2 linked regions of the Ovis aries genome follow. Each later gene encodes a partner of the first gene's protein in a complex. Links are inferred from orthologs where the notes say so. Each region holds a gene or a part of one and is shown on either strand. Other genes may lie near its edges.

What was found.
Region 2: the proteins of BCAR1 (region 1) and SH2D3C are in contact, whole or in part, in a crystal structure (PDB 3T6G), measured with the Homo sapiens proteins. The link is inferred for Ovis aries from reciprocal best matches to the Homo sapiens genes BCAR1 and SH2D3C. Residues at the interface, in NP_055382.2 of Homo sapiens: Ser739, Gln742, Phe746, Tyr747, Gln750, Asn754, Val779, Ser782, Lys783, Ile786, Leu787, His790, Val793, Phe794, Ile795, Asp797, Thr798, Arg801, Gln802, Ser816, Asn817, Cys820, Leu823, Arg824, Val827, Lys831; in NP_733745.1 of Homo sapiens: Thr543, Val544, Pro545, Val547, Gly616, Val617, Arg618, Glu622, Thr625, Leu626, Pro627, His628, Leu749, Leu752, Leu753, His771, Gly772, Val773, Glu774, Val776, Leu777, Leu780, Glu781, Ala783, Arg784, Ala787, His788.

The regions. Positions count from the first base shown.
Region 1 is NC_056067.1:2,063,376-2,067,178, forward strand, and holds part of BCAR1 (breast cancer anti-estrogen resistance protein 1), read right to left. Parts: intron 2,750-3,803; coding exon 2,588-2,749; intron 2,429-2,587; coding exon 2,312-2,428; intron 1,316-2,311; coding exon 218-1,315; intron 1-217. UniProt on the Homo sapiens protein: Docking protein which plays a central coordinating role for tyrosine kinase-based signaling related to cell adhesion. Implicated in induction of cell migration and cell branching. Involved in the BCAR3-mediated inhibition of TGFB signaling.
Region 2 is NC_056056.1:8,464,598-8,468,400, forward strand, and holds part of SH2D3C (SH2 domain-containing protein 3C), read left to right. Parts: intron 1-668; coding exon 669-793; intron 794-2,255; coding exon 2,256-2,791; intron 2,792-3,748; coding exon 3,749-3,803. UniProt on the Homo sapiens protein: Acts as an adapter protein that mediates cell signaling pathways involved in cellular functions such as cell adhesion and migration, tissue organization, and the regulation of the immune response.

The sequences.
Region 1 (3,803 bases):
CTGGCAGCCATCCCTGGGGGGCGCTGCAGGACCCCTGAAGGTGCGGCCACATGGGTCCAAGGGCCTGAGACAGGGAGGGTGGGACTCCAGGGGCCCGGCTGGCCTGGAAAAAGAGAAGCGCCCAGGGGCTCACCAAGACCTGGCCGGGCCCCATGCCTGCCCCTGGCCGTGAAAGCCTGCTGGGGGTCAGGGCCCTCCCCAGGCCGGGCGCACCCACCTGCAGGTGCACGTAGTCATAGTCCTCCATCCAGCCCCCCTCGCCGCTCTCGTACTGCCCGTCAGGAGAGTCCTGGGAGGCGAACTTGGGGGGCGAGGGCAGGGGCCGGGACTGGATGCTGCTGGCCTTGTCGGCGGGGGTGGGGTGCAGGGGGCCACCCCCCTCCGGCCCTGGGACAGAGGCCTTGGTCCGTCTGAAGAGCAGCGAGGCGTTGCCATGCAGGAAGGAGGCCAGCTGCTTGGCGTCCTCGGGCACCGCCCGCGAGCAGGCCACCAGGCGGTCCAGGTCTTCGGGGGTGGCGCCCAGGCCTCCCCGGCCGCTCTCGAGGGCCTGGCCGTGGGCCACCAGCGTCTGGTACACATCCTCCATCTTCTGCAGCTGCCGGCTCAGCTTGGCGTGCAGCGTGCGGTCGGAGGTGTGCGTGGCGTTGCCCACCGCGCTGCGGGCGAACTCCAGCAGCTCGTGGACGGCTGCGTGGACGGCGGCCACGGCGGCCCGCAGGTCCACAGCTGGAGGCTCCTGAGGCTCGGGGGGCCCACGCCGGCCCCCGCACCCGCCTGCGCTGCCTGCCAGGTCCAAGAGGTGGGCCACGGTGGCACTCACGCCCTGCTGCAGGCGGGTCAGGGCCTCCACGGCCACCTCCAGCTCCAGGGGCTCACGGCCCGGCACCGCCGCCTCCAGGGAGGAGGCCGACTGGCTGCTGCGGGTGCTGCCGGTGCTCGAGGCCGACAGGCGCTTGGCATCGGCCGGGGCCTCCCGCTCGGCCGCAGGAGGCACCGAGTACACGCCGGCGTCTGCCGCGCCGCTGCTGGCCGCCTCAGGGGGCAGGAGCCGCTCCCGGGGCACGTCGTAGAGGGCGCCGGGGCCGGGCCGCCGCAAGCCTGGGGGCACGTCGTAGAGGTCGGGGGCCGGGGGCGGCACGTCGTACACCTCCTCGGGCGGCGGGGAGTCCGGAGGGGGCGCGGCTAGGACCAGCGGGTGGCGGGTTGGGTCGAAGGGCTTGGCCTTGGCGAAGGCGGGGGGCACGTCGTAGGTCTCCTCACGCAGCAGGGGGCCGTCGGGCACGTCCTTGCTCACCGAGGGAGGGACATCGTACACCTGGGGGCCGAGAAGCGGTCACGGCTGCCCGTCCACCTGCCCCCCCCCCCCCCCCACCCCCCACCCCGGACCTACGGGTGGACCCAGGCATCTGTGCACACACAGCCCTGCGCTCGAGGGCCGCAATTCTTCCTGCAGGTTATGCTTCAGAGCTCGACTCTGGGGCCAGACCAGAGCTCAAAATCCCGGCCCCACCACTTACTAGCTGTGTGACCTCAGGCGCTGGGTGCACCTCTCTGTGCCTGTACGCTGGCCTAGGAGAGAACGCCCTCACGGGTTTATTGTGAGGACTACACGATTTAATTCTCTGTATAACTGCAAACACGCAGGGAGAGGTCAGCTATCACACCACTACCACCCCGACCTTCAGTACCACCACCACGGGGGTATTTTCTACTCTATCTCTACTCTTTGTCTCTTGGTCGTATCCGACTCTTTGTGACCCCATGGACTGTAGCCCTCTAGGCTCCTCTGTCCCTGGGATTCTCCAGGCAAGAATACTCGAGTGGGTTGCCATGCCCTCCTCCAGGGGATCTTCCTGACCCAGGTATCCAACCTGCACCTCTTACGTCTCCTGTATTGGCAGGCGGGTTCTTTACGGCAGATATTAGTAGGTGGCTGAGCCACCTGCGTGCTGTACTCAGGGTGCTGATGCCCTGGTTTGCCCAGGACAGTCCTGGTTCACGCCCGAGGCCCCTTCTAATTATTCATCCTCCTCCTCGCACTCTGAGAAGAATCCCCGTTTGGACGGTGCATGCTGTGGTCCCCCTGCCATCCCATGTGACCCTCTCAAGAACCTCCTGGAGAACGCCCTGCAGAGGAAGGACCCCTTCCCTGATGAGGAAGCCGAGGCTCGGAGGGGCGGCTGGTTTCCACCCCCATCACAGAGGTCCTGGAGGCAGGTCTCTGGAGCCCCTGCTCTGCAGGCCCCCGCCGCAGGGCGCACACAGTCACACCCAGCACCCTGTGCAGCTGCAGCAAACCCTCCATGCTCACCGCGTGGTGGCTGGCTGGCAGCAGGCCCTTCTCCACACTGGGGGGCACGTCGTACACATCCAGCGAGGGGTCCCGGCCATTGGGACCCTTGACGGCCATGGGGGGTGTGTCGTATACCTGAGGGCAGGAGAGGTGCAGTAATGCAGGGGCCAGGGCCACCTGAGGGCAGGGAGGTGGACCCCAAGCTGCACCCCAGGGCCTCCCCGGCCGGGCCTGGACAGCACAGCACCCTGGGCAGGGGGAGGATGGGACCCCGCCACCAGCCCAGACACCCACCTCCTGGCTGCACTGGCCAGGCAGCAGCCCACGCACGGGGGGCACGTCGTAGATGTCCTGGGGCCCGGGGGCCAGCAGGTGGCGCGGGATGTCATACTCGTCCTGCTCGGGAGGGGGGGCCTCGAACACGTAGCCCTGCCCCACACGGGTGGGCACTACCACCTGCGGGCAGACAGCCACCCGTCACCTCCAGCCCTGGAGACCAGCCTCCATGACCCCCTCAGGGAGATGCCACCGCCTGACGTGAGCAGAACACACGCGAGGGGCCCCCAGAGCAGAGGGTGTGCACGTCCCTCGTAGTCCTCGCCTTCCCGTCAATGAAGCAGCGCGCGAGGACTACAAGGACCCCACTGTTGGCTGACAGCCATCTGGTGTGGCAGGACACAGGAGAGGAGTCCACAGCCCAGTGACTCACAAGGCTCCAGAGGCACCTACACGTGGGCTGAGGAGGGGGCCGCCCCTGCCCGGGGTGCCCCTGCCGATGGCGCCTCACAGCAGTGCTGTCCACAGGGCGGCCTGCCTGCAGGGCTGTCCCCACCAGAGGGCCCGGCAGCCACTTTCCGGCTCCAGACAATGAGGGGGGATGGTGCCAGGCGGGAGGAGGAGGGGGCCTGCAGGGGATCCTGGGGGTCAGGGCCTGGGGCCTCCCCGCCCTCCTTGTCCCCCACACCCCTGGGGGACTCCTGGGAAGGGGCCACTGAGAACTCCCAGCGCCCAGAGCCAGTTCTACTGCAAACAGCAGGACAGAGGCTGTTCTGGCAAGTTGTGTGTGGGTGTGAGGAAGGATGGAGACCGGAACCAGGAGCCCTGCTCCCACAGCACCACACCCCCGGGGCTGCAGAGACCAGCCTCCACGCACCCGAAAGCACAAGGCCTCGGCTGGGAGGTCTCCCCTCCCGGTGCTCTTCCCTGGGCGAGCTGGCAGGCAGCCCCCCCTGTGGGGCACCGGCCCTGCGGGACTGGTGGGCCCCGGATCTGCTGACCGGGCACGGGCACACTTCCTCCACACGGCTCCCAGCTCACCCCTCTTGACAAAACGCCCTTCTGATCCCTAATCAAACGGAGGTCTGGGACGCGGTGACTCAGGCGCTCCCCACACACGTCCCTGGGAACTGCGGGGCGGAGGCAGGCCTGCCCCGGTGCTCATGCCCAAGAGCCCTGCGCCCCCAAAACCCTGCGCCCCGGGCTTGCATCCCCAGAGCTCTGCGCCCCCAGA
Region 2 (3,803 bases), on another chromosome or scaffold:
TCGATCCCTGGGTCAGGAAGATCCCCTGGAGTGGGAAATGGCAACCCACTCCAGTATTCTTGCCTGGAGAATCCCATGGACAGAGAAACCTGGCGGGCTACATTCCATAGGGTCACAAAGAGTCAGTTATGAATGAAGCGACTTAGCACTCACGTGCTTGCTTCAGCACTTCGATAGGTCCCATTTCCCTGGGCCTGGACTGCGTGCTGTCAGCCAAGGAACTGCTGGTTGGATACCCTGTGGGGAGTAACCACTTGGCCTGTGGTTTGGAACCAGTGATAAAACAGTGCCAGGATCTATAAGCCATGTGTGCCCAAGGCATCCTGAGTAATAGTGTGGGATCAGTGAGGAGAGACCAGGATGGTGGGTTTGGCTCCCTTGGCCTGGCCATCTTTCTTGCTAACCTCTCTCCCCAGGCCATTCTCCAAGTTGGGGGCAAGGTTCCCAGGGAAGAGAACAGTTGTACAGGTTGTAGACTGAACAAGTCCTTCCTCCTCTGGGCTTCAATTTTTGTACCTGCCAGGTGGGAGGTTGGATGTGATCATTTCTAAGCCTTTTCTGCCTCTGAAGTTCAGCAGATCTAGGATGGAGGCAGAGGTGGGGGTCCTAATGCTAGCTGAGGACCCTGACCTCTGGGCTCCTTGCTCATGAAGGTGTCTGCTCCACAGCACATCACTGCCCCACCCTCGGGAATCCATCCGCAACTGTGCACTCAGCATGGACCAGATCCAAGACCTGCACTCGCCCATGTCTCCCATCTCCGAGAGCCCCAGCTCCCCTGCCTATAGTACCGGTATGGCCAGTGGAGGGGGGCACATGGGGGGTCTGGTGGGAGTGGCCTCGTGTGCCCACATGTGCACTGTCTGACGATTTCCATTACAGTGTTTGATCCTGTGTGCTTCTTCCTCTTATCTGAGAGACATGCCCTGCAACAGTGGATACTAAAACGATCCATGTTGACATGCAAAACATAGCCATGGCTGGTTCATTCTGCAACAATTCATTGAGTCCCTGTTGGATACCAGGCACCGTGGATGTGGTTTCCATGCATTCTCTTGAATGTTACTGAGTCTGGTAACAAGTGAGGAGCCACTTGACCAGGCCCTGTATTGCCTGGGATTTAATGTATCCCTGATTCCAAATGGTGGGATTCAACTGGACTGGTCAAGCTTGCTTTATTTATTTATTTTTTCTTTTAAATAGATCTTTTCAGAGAAGTTCTACATTCACAGCAAAATTGAGCAGAAAGCAGAGAGCACTGTACACTTTTTAAAAAATACAATTATTTCTACTGTAGAAACATGCCACTACTGAATGAAACATGTTCATTTCTGGAAGAAAAAAAATAATGTTTTCAACAGGCCATACCACATATTGTCCACATGGCAGGCAAAGCGTGCAGAGGGTCAGCCCAGGGGAACCTTTGCTGGGAAATGCCCTGTTGCCATGTAGCTGTCCATATGGGTTGTCACAAATTCTTCTCTAACCATGGGCCCGCCAGCTTGTCGTAACTGCCAACTTGCCTTCCAAACAACACCGCTGAGTGTAAATGTTAAGACGCTGTGCCACAAATTATTTATTGGACAACTTCTAAGCAATGTGGCACAGGGAAGTACCCAGGAGTGAGGATTCGACACCTGGTTTTGAATCCCAGCTCTACCCTTTGCCGGTTGGGTGACCTTAGGCAGGTCAGCTGGCTTCTCTGAGTCTAACTTTTCTCATCTGTAGAATGAGGATCATAAAAGTACTCATGCACAGGATGTTGAGAGGGTTAAACAGATTAAGGGGCGGAGAAGGATCTCGCAGGCAGTTAGAACTCAATAAACATCACCTCTAATTTTGGATGATGGTTTTACTGTTTTGACCGGTGTAGCTCCAGCATGTCACCAGCTCCCAGAACACATGTCCTCAATAAATCCTTATTATTAATTCATTGAGAAATGATTCCACACAGTGAACTCCAGCAAGTGCTTAGCTTCTCTGAATCACAGAAAGCTCCTTCAAGTAGCTCAGTGGTTCCCCAAGGCTGCAGCAGCCTTAGGGTAAGAAAGTCTGACCCCCCGGGGTCCAGGGAATTTGAGAATATCACTGAGGGCTGGTCAATGTGCCAGCGTCAGCTGGGCCTGGCCTGGGTGCAGGGAGGTAGGATATTAGCCCTGTAGGGTGGGTGGAGCTTGTCCTCTGGGAAAGCGGTGGGGGAACCACACTGGCTAGGGAGTCATGGTAACTAGTTGTCTGTCTTTATTTCCCTGCAGTGACCCGTGTCCACGCCGCCCCTGCCGCCCCCTCCGCCACAGCGCTGCCCGCCTCCCCTGTCACGCGCCGCTCCAGCGAACCCCAGCTGTGTCCCGGAAGTGCCCCAAAGCCCCACGGGGAGTCGGACAAGGGCCCTTACTCCAGCCCCTCCCACACCCTCTGCAAGGCCTCCCCATCACCATCGCTCAGCAGCTACAGTGACCCGGACTCTGGCCATTACTGCCAGCTCCAGCCTCCTGTCCGTGGCAGCCGAGAGTGGGTGGCAGCTGAAGCCTCTGGCCGCCAGGCCAGAAGCTATGGGGAAAAGCTTAAGGAACTGTCAGAAAATGGGGCCCCCGAAGGGGACTGGGGCAGAACCTTCACAGTCCCTGTTGTGGAAGCCACCTCTTCCTTTAACCCGGCTACCTTCCAGTCACTGTTGATCCCCAAGGATAACCGGCCACTGGAGGTGGGCCTCCTGCGTAAGGTCAAGGAGCTGCTGGCAGAGGTCGATGCCCGGACACTGGCCCGGCACGTCACCAAGGTTGACTGCCTGGTAGGTGCTGGGTGCGCACTGGGGCAGGGGTATACCTCTGTCCTTTGGCTTTGGGACAGGGGTCAGGGTGGTGAGGAGCTGACCCCCACATCCCTAAGTAGAGCGACTGGTCCTGGATCCTAACTTCACGGCTGCCCTTTACTCGCTGTGTGCCTCTGACTAAGCACTTTACCTCTCTGGGCTCCCATTTTCCCCTTGGAAAAAAAAAAAAAAAAAGCAAAAGCGGAGATATTCTTGCTTCCTCCAGATGTCAGTTTGGCACTGGAACTGAGGAGTCCTGAAAACTAGTGGTGTCTGGCTCCCTAGGACACTTTTTGAGCTCGGTGAGAGTCAGTTTGGCCGGTCCAGGGACTATAAGAGGCTGGACTCCCCACCCCCACCCACCTAGTGGACAAAACTCATTGTCTAGGTCCATAAATTGTTAATGCCTGAGCCTTTGCTTTGAATGAATCCTGCCCATCTAAGGACCCTAACTTGATCTACGCCTCAGTTTCTCCCTCTGAAGTTTGGTGTGTGTGTGTGTGTGCGTATTGGGGAGGGGAACACTGATTATTTGGTCACACTTGTCTCTGAGCTCAAGAAGAAAGACAAGAAACAGTGCTGAGATGTGGCGCTGTGAAGAGTGCTAGGCATGAAGGAAGAAGCCCTGGGTTCTAGGTCCAGTGTGTGATGTAGGACAAGCCCTTTCCCTCCCTGGACCTTATTTCTTCTGGAATAAGAGTGTCCTGGGCACCTCTGGCACATGTCAGACCCCACTGGGCATTTTCCCATTTATCTTGCGTTTCATAGATGGGGAGAGTGAAACTCATTTGCTCCATGTCAGAGGGTTAGTCATAAACCTGGAATTCAAAGCCGGCTTCCCAGCCAGGCTGCCCTGCTAGATAAAGCTCTCTGACTCCCAGATGGCTTGGGCCAGCCCTGACAGGAAATTAATCAGCCCTCTGGGCGTCCTTGTAGGTTGCTAGGATACTGGGCGTTACCAAGGAGATGCAGACCCTAATGGGAGTCCGCT